2 linked regions of the Drosophila melanogaster genome follow. The protein of the gene in region 2 interacts with the protein of the main gene of each other region in a biochemical or structural test. Each region holds a gene or a part of one and is shown on either strand. Other genes may lie near its edges.

What was found.
Region 1: of the proteins of fray (region 2) and Ncc69, one has a biochemical effect on the other in vitro, tested with the Drosophila melanogaster proteins (one study listed by BioGRID).

What each region holds. Positions count from the first base shown.
Region 1 is NT_037436.4:12,387,212-12,395,104, forward strand, and holds the start of Ncc69 (sodium chloride cotransporter 69), read right to left. Parts: upstream 4,234-7,893; 5' UTR 4,112-4,233; exon of another isoform or gene 3,286-4,111; intron 619-3,285; exon of another isoform or gene 442-618; intron 1-441. Other genes in the region: CG32104 (uncharacterized protein), read right to left, coding at 6,658-6,831, 6,898-7,310, 7,391-7,529, 7,831-7,893.
Region 2 is NT_033777.3:18,578,256-18,586,239, reverse strand, and holds the start of fray (frayed), read right to left. Parts: upstream 5,025-7,984; 5' UTR 4,770-5,024; coding exon 4,736-4,769; intron 3,962-4,735; exon of another isoform or gene 3,886-3,961; intron 3,657-3,885; exon of another isoform or gene 3,535-3,656; intron 1,768-3,534; exon of another isoform or gene 1,654-1,767; intron 361-1,653; exon of another isoform or gene 173-360; intron 1-172.

The sequences.
Region 1 (7,893 bases), on a different chromosome or scaffold from region 2:
CCTCGAAAACCAATAAGAACGTGAAACCAAAACGGAGAACCCAAAACCATTTACCTGGCCAATTGGCCATGGCTTTTTGTGTTCTTCACTGTTCAGTTTGGGCCTGTTCTCTGCCGTTCTGTGCGGTTCTGGCCAAACAAAGCGATTGTTTCTTTCCCGTCCCGCAGATGGAATTTAAATATATTTCGGACGGAACCCCTTCTGATTTTAACCCATTTAGTGACCGGCCAGCAGGCAACATCAAAGCCAACTGGCTCTAATCTAAAATAATAATTATATAATGCTAATGCACACGGGATATTTCTGTACTGCTGGCCGCCAGCAATGGGAGGCACGATGGCTAATTCCTATTAATTGTGCGCGTGTTCAACTTATGAATTACATTCTGCGGAAAGGAAGATGGACTGGGCATCACATCACTTTGATTCGCGGATTTCTTACGCAAAAGTATCTCGCTGGACGCTGGACACACGCCCACGAAATCGCTATCTCGGCATGAATCGTTCCGTCAATTGCCGTAAATCTCCATTAAATCGCTGCAAAGACAAAAAGGCGAAAGGTGAAAATTGTCAACGCGGGGGCTACTTGGCAACTCGGCAACTTGGCGACTTGGCGACTGCACCGCAACTCGGGAATTTCGTGACTTGGCGCTGTGATTTGCATAATTTTCAACCGTAGCCCAGGCAGCACATCATTCTCATTCTTATTCTCAGTCGCATACACATATACCCATACCTAATTCACATACCGTTCCCATTCACATTTCCATTCCCATTTCCGCCGTGGACTGCAATTTCTCAGTGCACTGCGAGAAATTCCAAAATAAAACAATCGGTGAGATACTGATACTTTCAATTTAATCTTTGTTGTCTGTGGAAGTAAGTTGTCGGAAGCTAGAAATAAGAAAGTATTGAAAACAAAATATTCTATGGCAGCGCACAATAAATGTACAGATACTTTCTTTGTATCTTCAAGATATTTCCTTTGTTTTCTGGTACGCAGTTTTATATCTTGAACATGCTCATCGAGTATTCATTTTCGCAAGAGTGCTCGTATATTTTCGATATATAATATATAGTCTTCATCGTATGCTTCTTGGGCAATCGAGTTTGTTTATAAATTCTTATTTAAGCTTATATGTGAATACCTCATGAATAAAATATTGATTGAATTGATGAAAGAAGTCTAGAGGCAAGAGTTCTTATTTAAGAAGATAACCCAAAGTGGCAATAGAACAAGTGCCTCATTTTTCTATTGTTTTCTACACAAATTTTAAAATATTTTTTTTTTATTTCCCTGATATATATTCCATTCTTTTGAGTGCCTCGCGTCAGTCTATTCACCAAATGGATGCCGTGCACTTTCTGGTCGACCGCCTTTGTCAAGGTTCGCAAGGTCAATGATTTATTAGTTTATTTGTTCGCCAGTGCGTTGCGTTCTGTTGTGATCTCCGGTTCGTTGTCCGTCTATCTGTCAGTCAGTCTGGCTGACTTTCTCCGGACTTTTTGCCCCTGGGTGCGGCAACGTGCTGGAGCCGAGTGCCTATTGTCCATGGCTGACAGGCAAAGCTTGGGGATCAGGCGGCTTTGGCGCCAGTTGAGCCGCAAATCCGACGACCCCCAGCCGCTCCACCCCAGTCAGCCTCAAAAGTCGGTCGAGAATCATTAAGGGGAGCAGTGACAATTTGAGTTGCATTTCCATTAGCCGGTCTGTGTGTCAATGGTTTGGCAAATGGACAAGTTAATCGAGGCATGTGCTCGGTTCACATATGCGCTGCGACAGCTCAAACCAGCTGAGCTCCATGGCATTCAGTTCATTTTCTAAGTTGGTATACTCGAAGATGGGCCACGACCTTCAAATGCTACCCCATAAAGAATGTCGATCGATGATCGGTCTTTCGGGGTGGAATGAGCGCAACCCCAGGATCTGGGTTTCTGTTGCCAGGCGCAATGGAAGCCCATTATATGCAGCTGCATTTAGTTTCTACAGGGTTCTTTTTACCTTAAGTAGCTTCAAAAGTAATGCAACATTTGAGTACAAAATAATATTATATTTTGAAAAACACTCTAATAGATCTGTATTCTATTTGTCCACGAAAAAATTGAATTTCATGGTCTTTTCATTTTGATTAACTATTAAATATTCAAAAATTTAAATTTCCAGGTATCAAACTTCGAAGTATTTACCTTACCTAAGGCTTTAAAATAAATTTAATTTATGAGTTTTTTAAATAACCTATATTTCATTGTTATTTAAATTAAAAAGAATTTAATTTCTTTGAGGGATTTTTTTTTTGCTTGATTACTATTGGGCGTTTATAATCGTAAACCATTGGAGTGGTGCTCACTCTCACTCCAACATGCAGTTTTTAGAGCAATTATAATTGAATTTCTTTTTTGAATTAAAATGTATATGAAAAGCCACTTGAAAGGTAATGAAATTATGAACATTTTTTACAAGCACTTTAAGTTTAATGGTGTGGAATTTTATATGGCGCTTCACAAACACAAAGTGGTGAAACTCAAATAAATATTTAACTACTTTAAATATGAATTTATAAATGAATTGGACATTATTAATATATCAGTAGCGACATGGAAATAATATGGAAAATGATTTACAAGAATCATTTTTTAGCAATTTTAAGAGGAAAAGTATTATTAGAAATTTATAAATCAAAGAAATAAGATTCCTCTTGTGTAGTTTTTAGATATAAACTGACTCTTAGTTCTTAAATAGCATATGCTAGTGTCAAAACCATAAGAGCAACTATATATATGCAACCAGATATGCGAGTGCACAGCAGCAAATGACAACTGACCGCAATCCTGAACACTGAATGATTCTAGTGGAGCGTCTTCCACATTGTCGTCATAGAATTTCAAGAAGACAGATAAATGCACCGGTGAATTTATTACCCCATTTAGTGGCAAAGATAATTGGAGATGAACTGGAGAGCACTTGCCAAAGATAGACGAGACCGGACCCGGAAAAACTGGTAAACTGGCTTTCAAGTTCAAGTGCATGGCAATCGCTCGCAAAAAGGCTGAAAACATGGATACTTGGAAAGCATATCTGAGATATTTTTAAGTCGAGAGTTTAAAAAGTAGCCTATTGAAATGAAATTCACCGCCGCTGGTCAAAAGATATCCAGCTTCGCTCACTCGTGCATAAGTACATATTTATGTAAATTTGTATATACAAAGCCAACACAGCTGGCCAAAAAAGCCGCAGTCAAATTCTAGGGAAATGTATGAAATACAATTTGCCGCTTTGCGAACTCACCGAAACGCACTAAATTAATATCCAACTGGCTGGCAGGTAATTTATAAGTTTTTTCTTTGAACTACGAATTTGCAGCAATAAATGCACTTCTCACTGCAACACGCACACGATGTAGTTTACTTTGGTAAATACCACATATATTTACCCGCAAGAGTGCGATACGAAAACGAAGTGTGGGAATGCGAAAACTAAGCTCACTTATGTGTATGACAAATAATTATTTTATTATCTACGCTGCCTTGAGCTTGCAATCCATGAGCACGAACTGGGGAGTACTTGAGATACGGCTGATATCCAAATGCTAGCCACAAGCCACCCACTTCAAATTCCCCAAAAGCACTTTTGCACCGAAACAACAACAAATTTGGTTTGTTCAGAAGGGCACTTGATTGGCTTTTACACACACACTTCTTCGGATGGGCGAAGGCTTATTGCATACACAATATGAAATTTAGACGATGTTTCGCTTTCTTGCACTGCAAAACGCTCATTCGAGCCAGTTAATTGTGTTCCAGTAGGATGAGCAGCAGTCTACGATGGGTTCACTCTGCGGGCCAGCAGATGCGGTACAAAGCTCTGCTTTGTATCTGACAGATACTTGGATACTTTTGTATCTTTTGGAAATATTGGAATATGTTTCAGCTTTGCAGATACTCAAACGTTCAGATTCTATTGCATATTGCAGATACTTTTACACGCTTTAATCTTTCAGGTACTTGTGGTATCTTGCAGATACTTGAACACTTCAACACTGGCCTCTAAAAGGGGCGCGTTTTCGAAAATAAACATCCAGCACCGAAAATAAACGATCGTTGCCTGTTCTTACTTCGAGTTCAAAACGTGGCAGCTGATCCGACAAACGATTCCGATTCCTATTCCGATTCCGATGAGGAGCTATGGCAATAGCTATCCAAACGCACGTTCAGAGAGTCGACGACTGACTGAGGCAAACTCGGGTGGCGATCGCCACAAAATATCAGAAGCGATTGCGGCGAATTCGCTTCGTCGTTCGCTCGAATGCGGCGAACAAACAAATGTGCCTCGAGAGGCACCAAACCAACCGACAGCATAACGAGCTATATAGTATATAGGGTATATATACACATACAAATATATATTTAGGGAGATCGAACGAACCCAAGTTGCCCAAATGTGCGGCATAAAAATTCCATTTCACACACGCACGCAACTGAAGTTGTGTTGAGTGAGTTTGGCTTCCATGGCCATGGCTTGGTTTCTGTGTGAATCAGATAGCTGGCTTGGGGTTACCTTGGTGGTGGCTTTTGCACCCTTACGAATGTTAGAAACATCCGTATCCGAAACTGCATGCCATCTGAATGAGTTGAAAGATGACTCAGGCCAGCAAGTTGTTCGATACGCTGCAACCGGTGAAAATTCAAGTTAATCACCGTTAGAAAAAAAATTTAGTACACTTTTAGGAGGGTTGCACACAAAATCTTATACTTTCCGTTAAGGTGCTTATATATTTATTTTTTAATTTCCACTTTTCATAATTTTAAAGGTTTTTTATACTTCTAAATAACCAAGAAACATTAAAGTGCCATGAATCACTTTCGAATCTCAACATGGAGAAGAGAAAAGTGCCTATTGAACGAAAAACTCAAAAAGTAATTTTTCAAACATGACAGTTGTTTTTCCGCGACGACTTATTTCAAATATTTACCAGCTGCTGGCAAACACAAGTGACAGATATGACTTTTTCCACAGCTTCGCTTAGCTGGCGATGAAGGGGCGCAAATATTTTGCCAAGGAACCCGCTGACAATTGGGGGTTTCCCAAGAGGCAGGCAGCAATCAGAACCGGTTTCTTGGTCAAGTGCATGCAATGCAAATATTTGGACGCAATGAACACCAACTGTGCCCCATAGGTTTTCATTAGCCGGCGAGAGCCCAGTCATATCGAGTGCCTCCAATAATTGGGAGCTCGCTATCTACCGTTTCGAATGTTTTTATCAGAGATAAGGGGCGACTCCGGATACCGACGAACGTAAACAAATATCTGGGAATTCGGCCGACAAAACCGCCAAGTGGGCAAATGTAACTCTGCGGGCCCTTGGCTCCGTATCACAAAAACCATTGGCCCATTTTATTGATTTTGTGGTGCAAGGCAAGCGCCATTTGAAAAAGTTATTTTCAAAAATATCTACATATAAACATAAAAGTGCTCTAGAATCCTCTCGAAAGTTTAAAAAGTTGTGTCATACAGCAACGCACACAATTTTGGTTTAAAAACCATTATAAGCAAAATAGCAATTCTTTACCAATAAAGAAGTAATTAATTTTCAAGGAGTCGGCGATAGCAATGCAATTAGCTTGGAAATCGTGTATCTATGCACCCCTTTCCATATCATTTTCAAGTGGCAATCAAGTTTGAACTGGCTATTAATAGACGATTCGATCGAAATTTAATTTCAGTTGACTTAACAGATTAGCGTTGCTTAAATTTATGAGGTCTGTGCAAACATTTACGGAGCGCGCTAACACCCAGCAGTTATAAAATAATTAGCAGCCATTTAAAGCCAATTATCACATAAACACTCATAGACCATCGCCTCGCGGTGCTGAATTCTTCGATTTTGATGGGGGTAAATCATGCGAAAGTTGAATTATGTGGCCCAATGTTGCGCATACGCCATGTGTCAAACGAAAGCCCCGTGACAAGTCATTCGCCAAGTCATATACATACATATGTACTTAGGAAAATGGAGAAAAACCAACATGCACGAGTACTTAGATCAAATGATTTAATTAGCACTGGCCCCTCCAATTGTGTTCATTTTAATTACATACATTTTATCAGCCGTCAAAGCTTACGACTGCGAAGCCGCAAGGAGGAGGCAAGTTGTCGTGGCCCATGTGTCAATAAGTCAAACGATGTTAATTAATTGAGTGCGATAGCAAAATGCCCTGCAACCGTTGGCCTGTCACACGCAGTTTTCGTTGGCCCATCGCAATTAGCCCAAAAAGCCCGGTTACACAACCTAAGAGTTCTCTATCCGAAAATGTAATTATTTGCCTTAACCAAAGTGCAGTGCAATATATGATAAACGACCAGCCTGCTGTGGAATTTCCAGTAATTTGCTATGCATTCAACTGGAACTATCTCTTAAGCTAGAAAAATATATAATGTACGAGAGGAGGTATATGCTAAATACACAAATTTACCCAACAGTTCGATGGACTTAACTCAAAGTAACTGCGAGGTAGCACTTGAAACAGGGAGCAGATAAAACCAAATCAGCTTGCCTTATAAATAGAGTATTGTCACATGAAAACGACTTTGGATTCCGAAATTAAGTACGTTTATCGCAGTCTCGTGAAGAGCTATTATCAACTATTAATGTTCAGATTATCAAAACAATGTGGCTTTGTGCACCGACTTCGAGTGGTTAAAGTGGTGCTGGGCTATCCGATAGGCAATGCTTCCAGGACGAACCATCTTTTGTGCCAATGCATCACCGTACAGCTTCACCAACGAAGGCTCCTCCTCCACGGGCTCCAAATACGCAAAGAGCCCTCCCATTAGCTGCAGAAGGAAAATCAAACCATATATAGTTCACACTCATTTCAAATTAATGCCTTTTGCACTTACCATAGATTCATCACAGTTTATGAAACGCACAGCCTGAACATGCTCCGACCAAAGACGCCTTCGCCACTTATTATCATATTTCTGTGCCAGAGGCACCAGCACCAGAGAACTAAACAGTTCATCACCATAGCTGGCCGCCTCAAAGTGTTCGACAAACAGGTAGTAAAGCGGTTCAAATCTCGCCTTATCCACAAGTTCTGCATCAAAGTCAAATTCATGGGCTGCATTCTCCCTGTAGAAATCCATCAGGCAATCACGAAGCAGCTCATGCAAATCCGGAGCCAGGAACTGTGAGTCCGGGCCCATGAAGGCAATCATCAGATACATAAGCTTTTCCAGCGGGCTAACAATCTGCAGTCCCTCTCGTTCCAACTGCCGAACGAAAGTCAACGTCATGAGCACCACCTGGTTTTCTGTTCAATAGAAGGAAGAAAAAAAAAAGAAAACATGATTTATCCCCAAGGAAAGCAAAGTTTGAAGTAAGCATCCTCACCTGAGTGTATAGCCGCTGGACGCTGCTGCACATTTTGCAAGTAATTGCTGAGGATAACCCGGAGCTGAAAGAAGGGCCAGTCCGTGGGCAAGATGGGCGCTTGTGTGTAGCTCAAGGACAGCGACGGCTCTGAGTTGTCCTGGTAGAAGAAGTCAAAAAATCAATAAATATGCATTGAACATGTGCCATTGTATGACGGCGGCTCTGAGCTGGAAAATTTAAATTGCAAGCCAATCGATTTCATAAGTCTGTTATTTTTTTACTTAATTCTACTCCTGAGTCTGTTTATGCTTGTGGTTTGTTTTCTATTTTACTTTAATTTATTACGTGAAGTGCTTCCTAGTAGATACCGTAAATTAAATTTTCCGTCAATCGAGCAAGGTGCCAGGAATATATAATGCTATAATTATAAGACTTCAATTGAGGATAAAATTACTTACAGCTATAATGTGAGGATACACCATCTCCAGACACGATTGCTGCAGCAGTTTCAGACTAGATTC
Region 2 (7,984 bases):
GGACCTTGCCTTGGTTTATCGTTAAACAAATGTCAACTGATCTACGTGGAAGATGATCAACGAGCTGCCCAAGGTGGATTCAGGAAGTTTTTGGGAAAATCTAGTTGTGAATATCGGGATTTAACGAAGGAATCCCGGTTCCGAATGCAAGGTGTGGAAAGGGATTGATTACCGGATTAAAGTGTATGATGAGTTAGTAATCACTTCAATTTAGACTATAATACATTCGGAAGTTGTTAAAAAGTTCATATTGTCGCACACGTACATTGAATGAATACAACAAATATTTGGGGGAATTACCCTGAATTGTTTACAAAAACGTTTGTTTAACGTTCGACACATGTCTTACTGGGAATAGTTATATTCATACCCGCTTTCTTCCCCCTTCACAATATGATAAATTTTTCCACGTTTTGCTGATAAGATTTTACTGCATGTATATTATGTGTGGAGCACTATCTGAGATTCCGACTGTTCGGCTATTGTTTAACTTTTTTCGCCCACGACTGTATTCATAAGTGCGATCTGCGCTCTCTTAAATTGTCTTTCTCTTCGACGCTCATGCTCTCTTCCACGCAACATAAAAAAAGTTCAATCGCATGGAATGAACAGAGAGAGAGAGAGAGAAAGAGAGAAGTGTGCGAGAGGGACCAATGACCGCATTGAGCTATTTATAGCAACAAATAACGACAACAAAAATAACAGAGCTATACAACAAAGATAATGTGTGTGGAAATTGTAATTAAGTTTTCAACTAAATGTTTACAATTTCAGCTTTCCTTTATTTGCCTCCTTCATTTTGATTACATCGAAAAACCCGAACACGATAAGCTTGCGGTTAAAAACGGTAAGAAGAACAAGAGCAATTCGATAACTGTGACAGCAGCGATAAAGAAAACGCGTTTCCAGTTATCGGACGTGTCATGTGCCACTTAATTAAACCAACTAACTTTTTGGACCAACAACATACTTGGCGAATTTCGCAATTTAACACTTAGGCCAATTCAAATAAAGAATAACGCCGCAGGAAAACAAAAAATATCTAAATGTTTACACAACAAACAAAATGCGAAGCGGGGGGAGACAGGAAATGGCCTTTAAAAACACTTGGCAACCAAAAATAAAATTAAGAAAGCTAATTTAAGCAGAAAACCATTTTAAAATGGTAGAAGAGAAAGCTAAGTTAAGCTAATTTTCACAGATACACTTGAATACTTTTCTTATGACAGTGATTGAAGATTTAAAACAAAACGTCGATTTTGGAATTTGAAAACTCGATGACAAGTCAAAAACTCAAAACAAAAACAGAAAACTATGAAGATCTAAACAAAAAGCGTTTAAACAAAACTCAAATTTAAGCTTAAATCAATGACAAATATGAATTTAACTGGAAAGTGTGAGTAAATGATTTTATTTATGCAGACAAATTTCACAATTAATCAATACCAAGAGTAGTTGGAGAAAGAGAGAGAGAGAAGAGAACGCGGGAGAGACACACGATCATGTGCAACTGATAAGCATTGTCACACGACTTTACACACACACACACACACGCACACGTTTGGAAGTTCAATAAATTTTCATTTAGGGCTTTATTGATTTCTCGGCAAGGAAATCAAAACAATTTACGCCAAATGCTGAAGAAATAATTACACGATTCTCGTTGCTGCTACTTTTTTTTTGTATTCTGCTCCACACGCCGGCGCGACTGCGACTAGTGTCGTTTTTTCGGCGTAGCGATCGCTTCAAAAGCCGCGCAACAAATGAGCGCACAAAAGCAGAACAACAAACGCAATGGCAAAGCCAATAGCAGCGCAGGCGACGTCGACGTCGTAACAACGGCTTGTGGCAAAAACAACATGAATATGAGAGAAAAGCACAGAAAGTTGTATTATGCGAGCATCGGATACCCTACCACTAAATAATTTCGTCTTAAAGCTTTGCTTTCCAGAATTCTGCGGATTTAAATGTCTTATATAGATTCTTAAATCAAGATCTCCACGAATATGGGGGTTAGTACTTTGAAATATGCATAAGCCAAACGACTGAAGGGTATTATGCTAGTGTGGAAAGCTGAAACTAGAAATATACAAAAATAAATTTATTGAGTAAATATCAACAACAGAAAAGAAGGGCGGTGGGGCGGGGGTGCTGGTTGAGAATGAGGAAGCAGAGAGGTAGAGAGCGCCAGTGAGAGCGGGTTAAGAGCCGCACAGTGGGCGTCATAGATGAAAACTATCTGTTATTAGCGATAAAAAATTGTTTCGATAAAAAAAAAAATTGAATAAAAACTGTAATTTCAAAATGCTAAATATGAACCTCAATTTTGTTTCTGGTAAAAATAAATTGGAATAATAGTTCAAAAATATAGAAACTACTTTTTTCTACATTCCATGTTATTTGCACGATGTTTAGGCGATGCTGACCCACTGGCAATTGCACAATTTGTAAGGTTTTTCTTTTGTTTGCCCCCACCAATTTTCCCTGCGCCTCGTGTACTCGGATTTTATCAGCTCTGACGCGCACGATAAGTTAAAAAGTTTCCAGCGGCAATAATAACAACAAGCGAGAACAATTAGCAACAATAAAGACCCAGAGTCCCAAAAAGTGGAGCATAGATACAGCAGACATATGTATGTGCTTTCCATACCGCACCCAGATACAAAAGTGGAATCCAGTATCTCACTCTCTCTCGCTTTTACTCTTTTTCCATTCCGTTATCTTGCTGGGCAAGATAACTGGGTTAACATACTGGAAAGGGGGTTAATTTGTGGGGGGAAGCCCGCACAGTCATCATGGAAAATTCATAAATTGCATCCACAACAGCCCATCCATAAAACCCAGGCGGACATCTAGATAGATACAAATGTATCTATAGGTTGATTATGGGATCGTCAGTTTGCATTTGGCCATAGCGCTAAATTCTGTTCTGCTCTGCATAAAAATGCGCCATGGTCGAAGAACGAAGACTGAAGACTTATAAAAATAAGATATTCGCGCGCGCACACACACAATACTGATACTGATTTTTGCGTGGTCTATTTATTTTTAGAACGTCTCCGTCTCGTTGGCTATTTGCATATAATTTCCAATGCAGTTCGGCCATGGCAAAGTGTCTCGCCGTGCGGAAAGAGGCAGGTTTTTGGGTGCGTATGAATCCAAATGGATCGGAAAATGGAAAGCAGCTCAAGAGAAAGATTCGAAATATACTCTATTCTAATCTTAAACAAAATTGTGTTCAAGAATTTGCAAAAGGTTTGGTTACCACATTCAAAGTTGTTTGGTAATACTTAGAGTGGCTCTGAGCATTGGTAAAGTATTTGGTAACTCTTTTATTTTTTAAATAAATTTAATGTAATACTGCGATTTTCAATTGAGTTTTCGTATAGCTTGTGTTACTTCTGTTAATGGTAGTAATTAACTATAAATTGTTTCATTCAAAACAATTAACGAAATTTTCCACACATATAATTATAATTTAGGTGTACTAAAGTTGGCAATTTAAGAATCAGCGTGATTCAGTTACCTAATCACCTCACAATCCAGCTAATGGATCCTCTCATTAGCTCAGGTAAATGAATACGCATAAATATCTCATTCGCTTAACACATTTTCCGTTTATTGCACTCTGTTGCGTTTTGCAAATATGCGACAGCCTTAATATAGAAGAATCAGATAAATTACAAAAATACACGTGAGTGTATTTATAAAACGTCTCGATGGAAATGAATTTAACGACATTTGTAATTTCAATATTGACACATTAACGAGTTGCTTGAACTTTGAATTGCAGTTGCAATATCGCTTCGCATTAATTGTTGACACAGTTCGCACTGCAATCGCGCGCAAGAATGAAATACAAATGACTAGATACTATATCTATACTATGTATGTATCCGTTAGTTGAGTAGATGAGTGCGCGGCTATGAGTACTGAGCCGTGCCAAGTGCCCAAAGTGACTGTTTGTTTAGATTAGATTTTTAATTTGGCCGATGCCAGCGACTTTTCAGCACGTCATGTGGAAGAAGAGTAATTGATTCCTGGTTTTTGCATTTAGTTGCTGTTCTGATTTGGGAATATAGTATTTGTACTGGCATTGATGAATTCATATAGCGCATACTCATTTCGATCTTTTCGTGTTTTGGTTCTCGCTGTTGGTTCCAAATGATCAACAAATTTAAGAACTTTTCACAGGATATACTATAATACTGCATATACTGACAAAATTTGGAAAATCCCCTGATCTATGTATTTTGTGAATCCTCAACTCTCTTTGCTCAGTAAGTGTTTTTGCTTTGGAAGCCAAATAAATCCTAATAAAGTCGTTTTTGCTGAGTAAATTATAAATTTCGTTGTGACATGTTTATAAGCTTTTTGTGGCAATTATTTTTTAATAATTATTTAATTATCCCGAACCCGACTGGATATAAATCACAAGCAGTATAACGGGGATTCCCCTGACCGAATTCAGTTTTGGCAATTTAAGTTGGTTTGCCAAATTCGCATTTAAAATTCACACTCCTATCTATCAAATAGGTATCATTTATTTAGCTATTTGCATAAGGATACGTGAATACACGCACATACAGTATTTTTGGATTATAAATGACAAATGTGGAAAATAACTTTCGGCGATAACATGAATTTCAAATTAGTTTGTGCTTGTGATTTGCTGAAAAGTTGAGTGTCGTAATCGTGATTTATATAGTTGGATTTTTCAAAAATTTCAACCCACTTTGCTTGAGGCACACTAAATTCAGCAACTGCATTTTGTCTGGTTGTCACTATTTTTTTTTCTCAAGTTCTGAAATGATTTTAGTTCTGGCTGTAAATTGCTTTTAAGCCAAGATCTTTAGCCACAGATGTAGATTCGATCACACGCGACACTCGAGAATGACTGAGTTGAGTTATCAACGGAACTGCGATTGGGATTCGATCCGATTGCAGTTCGCCAAATCGCATTGCTCGCGATCGCTGAATGGGCCGCTCCTCCAGCGCGAAAATCACAAATTCGACTGAACTTCACAAATCGTTGTAATCAAACATTTAAAATGAACTGTTTTTTCCACCCCCTCCCCTTTCCATCCATTGCTTTCGTTTCGTTTAGCAATAAACAACAATAAAATTAAATGAGCTCTACAAATGGCGGAACACGACGACAGGCGATACTATATACTATAGTAAAAACGCCGTTGCCGATCGACGAAATAAACGTACGAAATGTGCGAAATTTTGCCGCCTCCATCAACGCGCGTTGGCGTTAGTTAGTAGTAGTTAGTATCCGCCTCTGTATCCCCATCGGTGTCTTTGTATCTCTATCTGTATCTGTAACACCAGGTGTATCTATGTATCTACGTATGTCGGTTGACGTAAGCTCGGATTTGCCGGGCTTTATGGCCAAAGCCCAGCTGATAACTAACATGCATGAGTGATTGCCTTGGCTTCCACTTAAAATTTAAATACCTTCGGCAGGGGATTTTCGGGAATTTGCATAGGCAATTGTTCCTAGTTCCGTTCTAGCGGGTTCTACAAATTTCGTTTGATACGAAATAGAAAAACAACATATCACCAACTTTTATAATTAACAGGAAGTCCTTGTGTCGCGAATTGTGAGTAAAAGTTGCTTTTTACAAGTAAGTACTAGGATATTCATAGATCTATAAATGTAGATTCTTCATATCTTGGAGATACAACGTATCTCTTTCTATCCTCAAGAGGACTGTCTTTGGTAAGACCTCTCTTTTCTTATAGACGTCTTTCAACCATGTTTACCCTGGTTTTTAGCAGCACTGTACCCAGGTAATTCTTCTTCATCGACAAAGACATGCGCAAGTTTGATGTTATTATTATTTTAGCAATTTGCATACGGCTTATGGGATGTGTATTTTTAAATTCTTGTTTATAGTCAAAGTGTGCTGCCTTATTTTCCTACTTTTTGCTTTAATCTTATTTTTAACAAGGGAATTTGTTGTATCCAAGCCAACAGAGCTTGTGTATCGAAATGTGTGAAATCTGTCAGGCTGTGCAAAATCGTAAATATATCTATAATTGTACGCTGGGTTACTTTTTATGCGCACCGGCGATTCGAGTCAAGTGATCGAACGCCCTCAAAAAGTTTTGACACTCGAAGAGCGCAAAAAAAAAAGAAGCCGAAAAAACCAGCGATTTAATTAGCGCCCAATGCCATTCGACACGTGTGTGGGTGGGCCAAAGGTTGAACCCCATATTCCTGAGCCCCAAATATTTCGCTTTCTACATACATATGTAGATATACTACTCACAATACTAATACTAGGCGTTGGTCATAAACTCTGTGAAATTTTTCACTTGCGTGACGTCGGTGACATCAAAATGAGGAAAACTCATTAATGACCACGAGCTGGGGGCCAGCTATGATGAATGAACCGAAACGAACCTATTTAGTATACTAAAAACTACAGTGGATATACTTTTGTATATTTGTATACAACCAGCTATAGAAAAATATTATTAAAATGCATATTTTCTTTATAGTCTTGTACTAGTAAAATGTTTTCTAAGCAATCGAGATACATTTAATGAACAAACTTGCTTTAAAAAGTCTAATACTATAAAATCCCATGAAAGATATATTTTTAAAAGTATATTGCAGATCGACGCGTTGTTCGTGAAACTCTATACATTTGTATAAACAAATGCGCATAGTATATTTCTTAAAAAAAATTCAAAATATGTGCCATGTGCCATCGCCCATCAGCGAAATCAATGCTCACATGCTCGGTTCAATTTGCTGGTCAACATCTCATGTGATTTCTGCTCAGTCGGTCGATTTCTCAAGGCAAGGACGTTTGGGACTTTTGCACTCGCAAGTCATTTTTTCGCAAGAAATTAAAAATAAAAAAACAGCAGTAAATAAATCAATATTCTTGTACGCAAAACATTTTGTCGAGCTCGAGGGTATTTCAGTTCATTGAGTTCAAAAAGCTGCGCAAATGCAGGAAGTTAATGTATTCGGAAGTCATATGACAAACATAATTGTCGCGCATTATTATTCAAAACTAAAACTAAATGAGCCGCGTTAATTGCTCTTTTGTTTTATTGCCAGAGACAGCAAGGTTTTGTTTAAATAAAAAACAAATTAAGCGTGTCAAAAATGTGCAGCGATCTTTTGAGAAATTTTGTAAAGACAACCCAACATCAATTCAAGCAATTAAGAATTAAGCCTTCTTGTTTCAAAATCAATAAGTTGAAGTTGGAATTGCTTGTGTACCTAGTTCAGTATGGAGATCTCATATGAAGTAACCTTGCCACAAGTCGCACAATCGCGGGGCTTAATGTTGCCGCCCCTCGATATGCAAAAGATGAGAGATATATGTACATAAATCGTAAAGCCGAGACGGCGCGTTGACAATGCCTAAAAATAGCAATCGCAATTGAAATTTCGTTCCATATTAAGCGTGGAGCCCAGTGATAGTTTCGTTCTTTCCCTGGTGGTCATTGTGGCTAAATTTAAATCTCTGAACGTCACATGAGTGGGTAGGAAATGGTGTACGGGATTGTACTATAGTGCGGATTGGGGCAAGCCTTCTCCTTTGGTGCAGAAATTGTAAATTACAGAGCGACGCAAGTTCAAAGTCAAAATAGCAATTGAACGAACGAGCGAACGACGGAGGAGGAACAAGTCCGCATGTCAGTCAGTCAGTTCAGTTCAGATCGTGGCGATGCTGGTGATCATCATCATGTTTCCGCTGATCGTACAAGATCATTATGCCAATTTGTTGTTGTTTTTCCGCTCGACCGAGCATGCAAACAAATTAAGACTGAGGGCGCCGTGCCCCGACTAGCGAAATTTAATTAGCATTGCCTCACTGTGCCCGCATTCAATGCACTGGCAAATGATATTTTGAATTATTTTCAATGATTACTCTATAGGAAATGCAGAAATATATGCAGCAATATCACACTCACACGGCAGCATTCCAAGTAGTAACGAAGTGCTTCACAA